3 linked regions of the Pelodiscus sinensis genome follow. The main gene of each other region encodes a partner of the protein of the gene in region 3 in a complex. Links are inferred from orthologs where the notes say so. Each region holds a gene or a part of one and is shown on either strand. Other genes may lie near its edges.

Region 1 (3,741 bases), on a different chromosome or scaffold from region 3:
CTGGTCATAAACAAAAGCTGCAGTCAAGCGTAGTTAATGGAGTTGGAGGCACTAAAAGGTGCAAGCCTAGAACAAAACTTTTATACCCGTGGTCCCCAACACGGTGCCCGCAGGCGCCATGGCGCCCGCGGGGGCATTTCCAGGCGCCCGCCAGGTGCTCGGGGCTGGCCTGGCCCCGGGCGCGCGGCGCTAGGCGGGGGGAGCGCCGGCGCTAGGCGGGGGGAGCGCCGGGCGCGCGGCGCTAGGCGGGGGGAGCGCCGGCCCCGGGCGCGCGGCGCTAGGCGGGGGGAGCGCCGCCCCGGGCATGCGACTATGGGGGGGGCTGCCCCTGGGCATGCGGCTATGGGGGGGGCCGCCCCTGGGGTGCAAGTGTCCCCGCCCCCTGGCGCCCGGTGGGCGAACGGCCCCGCCCCCTGGCGCCCGGCAACCTTGAAAGGTTGGGGACCACTGTTTTATACTATCTGACCCCTAGTGCCCAGAGATTTGCAACTCAGGCTACGTCTACACTGCAATGCTATTTTGGGATACGGGAAGCCTGTTATTTCGGATTTGCTATTCTGATATCCCTGTAAATCTAATTCCACAAGGAATAAGGGACATTTCACAATAACGGGTTATTTCTAAATAATATGGGGAAATAAGCTATTTTGAAATAAGATGGAAATAAATGCAATTTGAGCCAATCTTATTTTGCCCTACCGTGCAGTGTAGACAACCCAACTGCAGGTACGGTTACCAAATTTAAAAAAAAATGCACTTGATCTCAGATGGGGGCGGCCGGCAGGGGATTGGGGCTGGCCAGGAGGGGATCGGGGGGAGTGGGGCTGGCCGGGGGGGGGGGGGGGGCGAACAGCTGGCAGGAAGTGAGGCTGGCCAAGAGAGGGTTGCGGGGAGCAGGGCTGGCAATGGGAGAGCGGGGGAAGGAACTGACTGCTGGGAAGTAGGGCTGGCTGGGAGGGAGTCAGGGGGAGTGGGGCTGGCCTGGGAGCATGCAGATCCTGGGGTGCTGCCTATCCCATGTAGTGTCCTGGCAGGGTGCACAGGCGAGTCTGGCCCTGGGCATGCCATCCTGCCCCAGCCCAGCCCCTCCCTCCTCCTCTCTACTGTGTGAGTGTCTCTCCAGCCAGGCAGCATGCTACTCATGATGATGATAAAATTTAAGTAGAAAATACCGAACATTTATATGTCTGGTGTTTTCTCCATTTTTTTCAGGGACAGAAAGCTCAAATACCCGACTGACCAGTTCAAAACCGGACACCTGGCAAGTTGCAACTCTAGGTCTGCAGGGGAATGAGCGAGTTTTACTTCCCCAGGTTAACAGCCTCTAAGCGGCACTTGCGGGCCGGGGAGCGGCTGCATTGCTGGGGGAGGGTGGGGGGGCGGTTTCCCGGCAGGCCGGAGAGGCTGAGTAGGTGCCCGGCGGCTCAGCGGGAGTGGGCACGAGCCTGTGGTGGAGGAGCAGGGCCATGGAAGGGAGTCCCGCTCTCCACAAGAGGGCCCGTGCACACGGGAGCTGAGGAGGTGCGAACGGGGTTCTGAGGAGAAATGGCCCCACTCCCTTCCCGTACCTGGGCACGAATCCGTTGCTGGGCAACGACACCTCATGAGTTTCCGCCCTGCAGCTAGAGGCCCCGGCTCTGGCTTTGTGATTGGCTGATCACCTGTGCTCTGTTGCCATGGTGACAGCGTGCGGCTCCTAGAAGGGGGGCGACAGCCGGCTTGAGAGCAGCATGAACAGGAAGAAGCTGCAGAAGCTCGCGGAGTCGCTGTGCCGGACGGCGAAGCACTGTGAGTGCCGGGGCGGCCCCAGGCCTGCTGCGTCCCGGGCTCCATCAGCGGTTCCCAGCCCCGCCCCAAGCAGGAACCACGTCCTCCCAGCCCCCTCTGCGCCAGGCATGTCCCTATCGCCCTCCCGCCTTTGGGCAGCCCCCTCGCCGCCCAGCACCGCCTCTGCACCCCCACCGTCCTCATGGATCCAGCCCCCTAGTGTCTAGCGTGGCCCCAGGCATTCCTCTGCAGCCCCCACGGATCCAGGCCCTTAAAGCCCAGCATGGCCCCAGGCATTCCTCTGCAGCCCCCACGGATCCAGGCCCTTAAAGCCCAGCATGGCCCCAGGCATTCCTCTGCAGGCCCCATGGATCCAGCCCCCTAAAGCCCAGCATGGCCCCAGGCATTCCTCTGCAGGCCCCATGGATCCAGCCCCCTAAAGCCCAGCATGGCCCCAGGCATTCCTCTGCAGGCCCCATGGATCCAGCCCCCTAAAGCCCAGCATGGCCCCAGGCATTCCTCTGCAGGCCCCACGGATCCAGGCCCTTAAAGCCCAGCATGGCCCCAGGCATTCCTCTGCAGCCCCCATGGATCCAGGCCCCTAAAGCCCAGCATGGCCCCAGGCATTCCTCTGCAGGCCCCACGGATCCAGGCCCTTAAAGCCCAGCATGGCCCCAGGCATTCCTCTGCAGGCCCCATGGATCCAGCCCCCTAAAGCCCAGCATGGCCCCAGGCATTCCTCTGCAGGCCCCATGGATCCAGCCCCCTAAAGCCCAGCATGGCCCCAGGCATTCCTCTGCAGCCCCCATGGATCCAGGCCCCTAAAGCCCAGCATGGCCCCAGGCATTTCTCTGCAGCCCCCACGGATCCAGCCCCCTAAAGCCCAGCATGGCCCCAGGCATTCCTCTGCAGGCCCCACGGATCCAGGCCCTTAAAGCCCAGCATGGCCCCAGGCATTCCTCTGCAGGCCCCATGGATCCAGCCCCCTAAAGCCCAGCATGGCCCCAGGCATTCCTCTGCAGGCCCCATGGATCCAGCCCCCTAAAGCCCAGCATGGCCCCAGGCATTCCTCTGCAGGCCCCATGGATCCAGCCCCCTAAAGCCCAGCATGGCCCCAGGCATTCCTCTGCAGGCCCCACGGATCCAGGCCCTTAAAGCCCAGCATGGCCCCAGGCATTCCTCTGCAGCCCCCATGGATCCAGGCCCCTAAAGCCCAGCATGGCCCCAGGCATTCCTCTGCAGGCCCCACGGATCCAGGCCCTTAAAGCCCAGCATGGCCCCAGGCATTCCTCTGCAGGCCCCATGGATCCAGCCCCCTAAAGCCCAGCATGGCCCCAGGCATTCCTCTGCAGCCCCCATGGATCCAGGCCCCTAAAGCCCAGCATGGCCCCAGGCATTTCTCTGCAGCCCCCACGGATCCAGCCCCCTAAAGCCCAGCATGGCCCCAGGCATTCCTCTGCAGCCCCCACGGATCCAGGCCCCTAAAGCCCAGCATGGCCCCAGGCATTCCTCTGCAGCCCCCACGGATCCAGGCCCCTAAAGCCCAGCATTGCCCCAGGCATTCCTCTGCAGCCCCCATGGATCCAGCCCCCTAAAGCCCAGCATGGCCCCAGGCATTCTTCTGCAGCCCCCACGGATCCAGGCCCCTAAAGCCCAGCATGGCCCCAGGCATTCCTCTGCAGCCCCCATGGATCCAGCCCCCTAAAGCCCAGCATGGCCCCAGGCATTCCTCTGCAGCCCCCACGGATCCAGGCCCCTAAAGCCCAGCATGGCCCCAGGCATTCCTCTGCAGCCCCCATGGATCCAGCCCCCTAAAGCCCAGCATGGCCCCAGGCATTCCTCTGCAGCCCCCATGGATTCAGCCCCCTAGGCACCAAGAATTCCCCTTCAGCTTCCCCTCTCCCCATGGTACCAACCCCTCCAGATTTTACCTGCAGCTCTCCATTGTTGTGGAACTAGTGCGCTCATAATGCT
Region 2 (3,741 bases), on a different chromosome or scaffold from region 3:
GCCTCTGTGCACCACACCCCCCTCCACAAGTGTCACCCCCCCCGCCTCTCTGCACCACACCCCCTCCACAAGTGTCACCCCCCCGGCCTCTGTGCACCACACCCCCCTCCACAAGTGTCACCCCCCCGGCCTCTGTGCACCACACCCCCCTCCTCAAGTGTCACCCCCCCCGGCCTCTGTGCACCACACCCCCCTCCACAAGTGTCACCCCCCCGCCTCTGTGCACCACACCCCCCTCCACAAGTGTCACCCCCCCGGCCTCTGTGCACCACACCCCCCTCCTCAAGTGTCACCCCCCCCGCCTCTGTGCACCACACCCCCCTCCACAAGTGTCACCCCCCCGCTTCTGTGCACCACACCCCCCTCCACAAGTGTCACCCCCCCGCTTCTGTGCACCACACCCCCCTCCACAAGTGTCACCCCCCCGCCTCTGTGCACCACACCCCCCTCCACAAGTGTCACCCCCCCGGCCTCTGTGCACCACACCCCCCTCCACAAGTGTCACCCCCCCGGCCTCTGTGCACCACACCCCCCTCCACAAGTGTCACCCCCCCGCCTCTGTGCACCACACCCCCCTCCACAAGTGTCACCCCCCCCGCCTCTGTGCACCACACCCCCCTCCACAAGTGTCACCCCCCCGGCCTCTGTGCACCACACCCCCCTCCACAAGTGTCACCCCCCCCGCCTCTGTGCACCACACCCCCCTCCACAAGTGTCACCCCCCCCGGCCTCTGTGCACCACACCCCCCTCCACAAGTGTCACCCCCCCGCCTCTGTGCACCACACCCCCTCCACAAGTGTCACCCCCCCGGCCTCTGTGCACCACACCCCCCTCCACAAGTGTCACCCCCCCGCCTCTCTGCACCACACCCCCTCCACAAGTGTCACCCCCCCGCCTCTGTGCACCACACCCCCCTCCACAAGTGTCACCCCCCCGGCCTCTGTGCACCACACCCCCCTCCACAAGTGTCACCCCCCCGCCTCTCTGCACCACACCCCCTCCACAAGTGTCACCCCCCCGCCTCTGTGCACCACACCCCCCTTCACAAGTGTCACCCCCCCGGCCTCTGTGCACCACACCCCCTCCACAAGTGTCAACCCCCCCGCTTCTGTGCACCACACCCCCCTCCACAAGTGTCACCCCCCCGGCCTCTGTGCACCACACCCCCCTCCACAAGTGTCACCCCCCCGGCCTCTGTGCACCACACCCCCCTCCACAAGTGTCACCCCCCCGCCTCTCTGCACCACACCCCCTCCACAAGTGTCACCCCCCCGCCTCTGTGCACCACACCCCCCTTCACAAGTGTCACCCCCCCGGCCTCTGTGCACCACACCCCCTCCACAAGTGTCACCCCCCCGCTTCTGTGCACCACACCCCCCTCCACAAGTGTCACCCCCCCGGCCTCTGTGCACCACACCCCCCTCCACAAGTGTCACCCCCCCGGCCTCTGTGCACCACACCCCCCTCCACAAGTGTCACCCCCCCGGCCTCTGTGCACCACACCCCCTCCACAAGTGTCACCCCCCCGCTTCTGTGCACCACACCCCCCTCCACAAGTGTCAACCCCCCCGCTTCTGTGCACCACACCCCCCTTCACAAGTGTCACCCCCCCCCGCCTCTGTGCACCACACCCCCCTCCACAAGTGTCACCCCCCCGCCTCTGTGCACCACACCCCCCTCCACAAGTGTCACCCCCCCCGGCCTCTGTGCACCACACCCCCCTCCACAAGTGTCACCCCCCCGCCTCTGTGCACCACACCCCCCTCCACAAGTGTCACCCCCCCCGGCCTCTGTGCACCACACCCCCCTCCACAAGTGTCACCCCCCCCCGCCTCTGTGCACCACACCCCCCTCCACAAGTGTCACCCCCCCCGGCCTCTGTGCACCATGCCCCCCCCCCCCGCTTCCTGCCCCGCATCAGCATCGCCAGCCACTGGGGGGGGCCGGGGGGCGCGCTCATGAATATTCATAAGGACGGAGCCGCTCACGTTGGTGAAGCAGACCAGCGCCTTGCCGTGCTCCCCCCGCCGGCTGAGCAGCGTCCCCTCGGCCATGAGGCTGGGGAAGGTCCCGCTCTGCCCCTCGCCCTCCGCGTCCTCCATCGGCCCGGGCCACTGCTTGACATCCGCTGCCTAGCAACCGCCGCCGGACTTCCGGGGGCGGGACCGGCCCCGCCCCGCGCGTGGCCACGCCCCCAGACAGCTTCTCGCGCAGGACCCGACCTGGCAGGCGCCCGGAGCTTCTGCCCCCTCCCCCGCCAGCCCTCTGCCCACCAGCTCCCCATTGCCTGGTGCTTTCCCCCTGCCAGCCTCTGATACCCCCCACTCCCCTCCCCCCCCTTATCTCCTTCCAGCCCCCTGACACTCCCCACTCCCCTCCCCCCATTGCTCCCCATTGCCTGGTGCTTTCCCCCTGCCAGCCTCTGATACCCCCCACTCCCCTCCCCCCCCTTATCTCCTTCCAGCCCCCTGGCACTCCCCACTCACCTCCCCCCCCATTGCTCCCCATTGCCTGGTGCTTTCCCCCCTGCCAGCCTCTGATACCCCCCCACTCCTCTCCCCTCCCCTCTCTCCTTCCAACCCCCTGACACTCCCCACTCACCTCCCCCCCCATTGCTCCCCATTGCCTGGTGCTTTCCCCCTGCCAGCCTCTGATACCCCCCCACTCCCCTCCCCCCCCTTATCTCCTTCCAGCCCCCTGACACTCCCCACTCCCCTCCCCCCCATTGCTCCCCATTGCCTGGTGCTTTCCCCCTGCCAGCCTCTGATACCCCCCCACTCCTCTCCCCTCCCCTCTCTCCTTCCAACCCCCTGACACTCCCCACTCACCTCCCCCCCATTGCTCCCCATTGCCTGGTGCTTTACCCCCTGCCAGCCTCTGATACCCCCCCACTCCTCTCCCCTCCCTTATCTCCTTCCAGCCCCCTGACACTCCCCACTCCCCTCCCCCCATTGCTCCCCATTGCCTGGTGCTTTCCCCCTGCCAGCCTCTGATACCCCCCACTCCCCTCCCCCCCCCCATCTCCTTCCAGCCCCCTGACACTCCCCACTCCCCTCCCCCCATTGCTCCCCATTGCCTGGTGCTTTCCCCCTGCCAGCCTCTGATACCCCCCACTCCCCTCCCCCCCCTTATCTCCTTCCAGCCCCCTGGCACTCCCCACTCACCTCCCCCCCCATTGCTCCCCATTGCCTGGTGCTTTCCCCCTGCCAGCCTCTGATACCCCCCCACTCCCCTCCCCCCCCTTATCTCCTTCCAGCCCCCTGACACTCCCCACTCACCTCCCCCCCCATTGCTCCCCATTGCCTGGTGCTTTCCCCCTGCCAGCCTCTGATACCCCCCACTCCCCTCCCCCCCCCATCTCCTTCCAGCCCCCTGACACTCCCCACTCCCCTCCCCCCATTGCTCCCCATTGCCTGGTGCTTTCCCCCTGCCAGCCTCTGATACCCCCCACTCCCCTCCCCCCCCTTATCTCCTTCCAGCCCCCTGGCACTCCCCACTCACCTCCCCCCCCATTGCTCCCCATTGCCTGGTGCTTTCCCCCTGCCAGCCTCTGATACCCCCCACTCCCCTCCCCCCCCCCATCTCCTTCCAGCCCCCTGACACTCCCCACTCCCCTCCCCCCATTGCTCCCCATTGCCTGGTGCTTTCCCCCTGCCAGCCTCTGATACCCCCCCCACTCCCCCCCTTATCTCCTTCCAGCCCCCTGGCACTCCCCACTCACCTCCCCCCCATTGCTCCCC
Region 3 (3,741 bases):
CGGGGGGAGTCTGGGGGGATAGTTCAGGCTCGGGGGGAGTCTGGGGGATAGTTTGGGGGGACAGTTCAGGCTCGGGGGGAGTCTGGGGGATAGTTTGGGGGGATAGTTCAGGCTCGGGGGGGAGTCTGGGGGGATAGTTTGGGGGGATAGTTCAGGCTTGGGGGAGTCTGGGGGATAGTTTGGGGGGACAGTTCAGGCTCGGGAGGAGTCTGGGGGATAGTTTGGGGGGATAGTTCAGGCTTGGGGGAGTCTGGGGGATAGTTTGGGGGGACAGTTCAGGTTCAGGGGGAGTCTGGGGGGATAGTTCAGGCTCAGGGGGAGTCTGGGGGATAGTTTGGGGGGATAGTTCAGGCTCGGGGGGAGTCTGGGGGATAGTTTGGGGGGATAGTTCAGGCTCGGGGGGAGTCTGGGGGGCAGTTCACGGCTCAGGGGAGATCTGGGGTACAATCTCCTTCCTAACCCAGAGCCTCCCACCCCTGCAGGCAGGGATTTACCTCGCTCTCCAGCAGCCAGTCCGGGTGATGGGGTGGTCAGTGGGCTCGGTGGGGACCCAGTCCCTGCCGGGCACGGGGGGGCACGGGGATCACTCCCGGCCTCTCCTCGCCTGCCAGCATCGCCGCCCTCCCCTCACTGCCCGAGTTGTTGGCAACCGTCTCCAGGAAGCAGAAATCTCTCAGCCAATGGGGGCGAGGATGGAGCCCTGTGGGGGGAGAAAAAGGGGGAACACGTCAGATTAGGAGAAACAAGAAAGCCACACTGGAAAATCCCTTTTATTCCCTCCACCAGCCCCACCTCTCCTTGCCCCCTTGTCCCAACCATTCCCATCCCCACCTTCCCCCAGCACTCCACCCCAATCCCAAACACACCCTTATTTATCCCATCCACCCTCAGCTATGGAGCGGAGGGGAGAGGAGAAGCCAGGGCTCCTGGGTTCTATCTTGGCTCTTGGAGGGATGTGGGGCGCAGTGGTTAGAGCAGGTGGGAGGGCTGGGTGAACAGGAAAGAATTTATTGCCAAGTTAATGAGCTCCCAGGTGCCTATGCAGAAGATGGCAGGTTGGGGTGGAGTCCTGCTGGGATCAGGGCACCCCACTCCACTGTGGGGGATGCCAGGGCGTGGGGGAGGAGCTAAGGGGCAGCAGCAGAGCCTGGGATCATGGGGTAAGGGAGGACCCATGATACTGCCCCAGCAGCTCCATCACAACCATAGGGGGCGCTACTGCTGCTCATTTCACCTGGGCATCACGCTAAGGCTCTGCCCCCGGCTGTCATGGCAACACACCGTCAGGTCACGCCAAAACACGGTCACATCTCGCCGTGGCCCCAGACGCTCCTGCCCCGCCCCCACTGCAGACGGCGATGGCAAACCAAGGCCCAACCATACCTAGGTCCTGACAGGTCGTACCAAAGCCGCACCTCACCCAAGCCCTGTCCAGTCACACCAAGGCCCCAGCAAGTCATGCCAAGGCCCCAGTGAGGCTCCGTCACACCCAGGATTCTCAGATTACACCAAAGCAGATTACACCAAGGCCCCAGGGGCTTTGTCATGCCAAGGCTGCAGCAGGTCACGCCAAGGTCTCAGTGGCTCTGTCATGCCAAGGACCTGGCAGGTCACACCAGACTCAACAGGCCATGCCAAAGTCTCAGTGGCTCTGTCTTGCCAAGGATCTATCAGGTCACTCCAAGGTCCCAACAGGTCCCACCAATGCCCTGCCACATCATGTCAAGGCCCCCACAAATCATGCCTGAGACCTGGCAGGTCACAGCAAGGCCTTGTCATACCAAGGACATGGCAGGTTATGCCAATGCCCCCACAAGTCATGCCAAGGCCTCGTCACACCAACATCCCCACAAGTCACGCCAAGGACATGGCAGGACACGCCAACACCCCCACAAGCCACGCCAAAGCCTCGCCATGTCAATGCCTCCACAAGTCATGCCAAGGACTCCATCAGGTCACACCAAGGCCCCCACATGTCATGCCAAGGCCATGACAGATCACACCAAGGCCGTCACAAGTCCTGCCAAGGACATGGCAGGTCACACTAATGCCCCGCCAAGTCATGCCAAAGACACGGCAGATCATGCCAAGGCCGTCACAAGTCATGCCAAGGACACGGCGGGTCATGCCAAGGTCCCGGCAGGTCACACCAATGCCCCGCCAAGTCATGCCAAGGTCCCGGCAGGTCACACCAATGTGCTGCCAAGTCATGCCAAGGACACTGCAGGTCATACCAAGGTCCCGGCAGGTCACACCAATGCCCCGCCAAGTCATGCCAAGGACACAGCGGGTCATACCAAGGTCCCGGCAGGTCACACCAATGCCCCGCCAAGTCATGCCAAGGACACGGCGGGTCATGCCAGGGACCTGGCAGGTCACACCAAGGGCTTGTCACACCAAGGACACAGCAGGTCACTCCCAGGCCCTGCACCCCCGCTCTGGAGGGTTGGGGGGTGTCTCACCAGCAGGCCAGGGGGCGGGACCAGGACAGGGGGCGGAGCCTGTTGTCCCTCCTTCCTCCAGGCTCCTGAATTAACTCTGAGTAGGGCCTGGCCGTCACTGCGCATGCGCCGGACTAACAGCTCCCTCCTTCCTCCCTTCCCCCTTCCCCCGCCAAGGCATCGCCCGCTGTGCAAACCCCGCCCCTTGCCGCTGCTCCCGCCCCTAGCCGACTTCCCGCGCATGCGCGGTCCCTCCCTGCTCTGCTGGGGGGAATTGTAATGGGGAGTGGATGGAGGGCTGGGAGCAGGTGCACGGCTGGGGCTGGATGCATTGAGGCACGTGCACAAAACACGCACACAGCTGGGGGTCCGGCTGCAATGGTGGGGAGTGCACAGCTGGGGGGCCGGCTGCAATGGTGGGGAGTGCACGGTGGGGGGCCGGCTGCAATGGTGGGGAGTGCACAGCTGGGGGGCCGGCTGCAATGGTGGGGAGTGCACAGCTGGGGGGCCGGCTGCAATGGTGGGGAGTGCACGGTGGGGGTCCGGCTGCAATGGTGGGGAGTGCATGGTGGGGGGCCGGCTGCAATGGTGGGGAGTGCACGGTGGGGGTCCGGCTGCAATGGTGGGGAGTGCACAGCTGGGGGGCCGGCTGCAATGGTGGGGAGTGCACGGTGGGGAGCCGGGGCAGGTGCACTGGCAGGAAGCGAGGGGCAAAGGGAAGCAAGGGGGCAGGCATACGGGAAGCAGGATGCTAAGGACGGGAACAGCTGCACGAATGGCGGGCTCAGTGGAGGGTGGGGGCTGCGTGACTCATAGAGCTCTTGCTCACAGCCCCACACACCACGCGGCACCCCAGCACCGGAAACCACCAAACCTTGTCACCCCACCCAACCACCCGTGTTTGTCCCATCACAGCCGGCGCTGCGGCCTGTTGCCAGGGCCCGGCGCCTGATTGGGCAGGGGTGTTCCGGGCACAGGATGTCGTGATGGGAAGATTGTCAGACACGGGCCTGCTTTCCTATTGCCCTACACACCCCATCCCAGCAGCAAGGCGAGGCAAGACGGCAGCATCCATAGATTGGACCCCTGCTCTGAGCTCTCACCCCATCTCCCCTCCCAGGGCTGGGGAATAGAACCCAGAAGTCCTGCCCCCCCGGCCCCTGCTCCTGCTCCTGCTCCTGCTGTAACCACTAGACCACACTTCCCTCCCAGAGTTAGGAGAGAGCCCAGGAGTCCTGGCTCCCATTGCCTTGCTTTAACCACTAGCCCCCACTCCCCTCGCAGAGCTAGCAGAGAACCC

Evidence for each region.
Region 1: ODAD1 (region 3) and CLXN share a complex: the UniProt entries of both Homo sapiens proteins name them as parts of the outer dynein arm-docking complex. The link is inferred for Pelodiscus sinensis from reciprocal best matches to the Homo sapiens genes ODAD1 and CLXN.
Region 2: ODAD1 (region 3) and ODAD4 share a complex: the UniProt entries of both Homo sapiens proteins name them as parts of the outer dynein arm-docking complex. The link is inferred for Pelodiscus sinensis from reciprocal best matches to the Homo sapiens genes ODAD1 and ODAD4.

The regions. Positions count from the first base shown.
Region 1 is NC_134712.1:213,648,210-213,651,950, forward strand, and holds the start of CLXN (calaxin), read left to right. Parts: upstream 1-1,392; 5' UTR 1,393-1,730; coding exon 1,731-1,788; intron 1,789-3,741. UniProt on the Homo sapiens protein: Component of the outer dynein arm-docking complex (ODA-DC) that mediates outer dynein arms (ODA) binding onto the doublet microtubule. Seems to regulate the assembly of both ODAs and their axonemal docking complex onto ciliary microtubules.
Region 2 is NC_134739.1:9,762,439-9,766,179, forward strand, and holds the start of ODAD4 (outer dynein arm-docking complex subunit 4), read right to left. Parts: upstream 2,145-3,741; 5' UTR 2,104-2,144; coding exon 1,990-2,103; intron 1-1,989. UniProt on the Homo sapiens protein: Component of the outer dynein arm-docking complex (ODA-DC) that mediates outer dynein arms (ODA) binding onto the doublet microtubule. Plays an essential role for the assembly of ODA-DC and for the docking of ODA in ciliary axoneme.
Region 3 is NW_027465849.1:3,917,936-3,921,676, forward strand, and holds the start of ODAD1 (outer dynein arm-docking complex subunit 1), read right to left. Parts: upstream 2,591-3,741; 5' UTR 2,463-2,590; intron 701-2,462; 5' UTR 495-700; intron 1-494. UniProt on the Homo sapiens protein: Component of the outer dynein arm-docking complex (ODA-DC) that mediates outer dynein arms (ODA) binding onto the doublet microtubule. Involved in mediating assembly of both ODAs and their axonemal docking complex onto ciliary microtubules.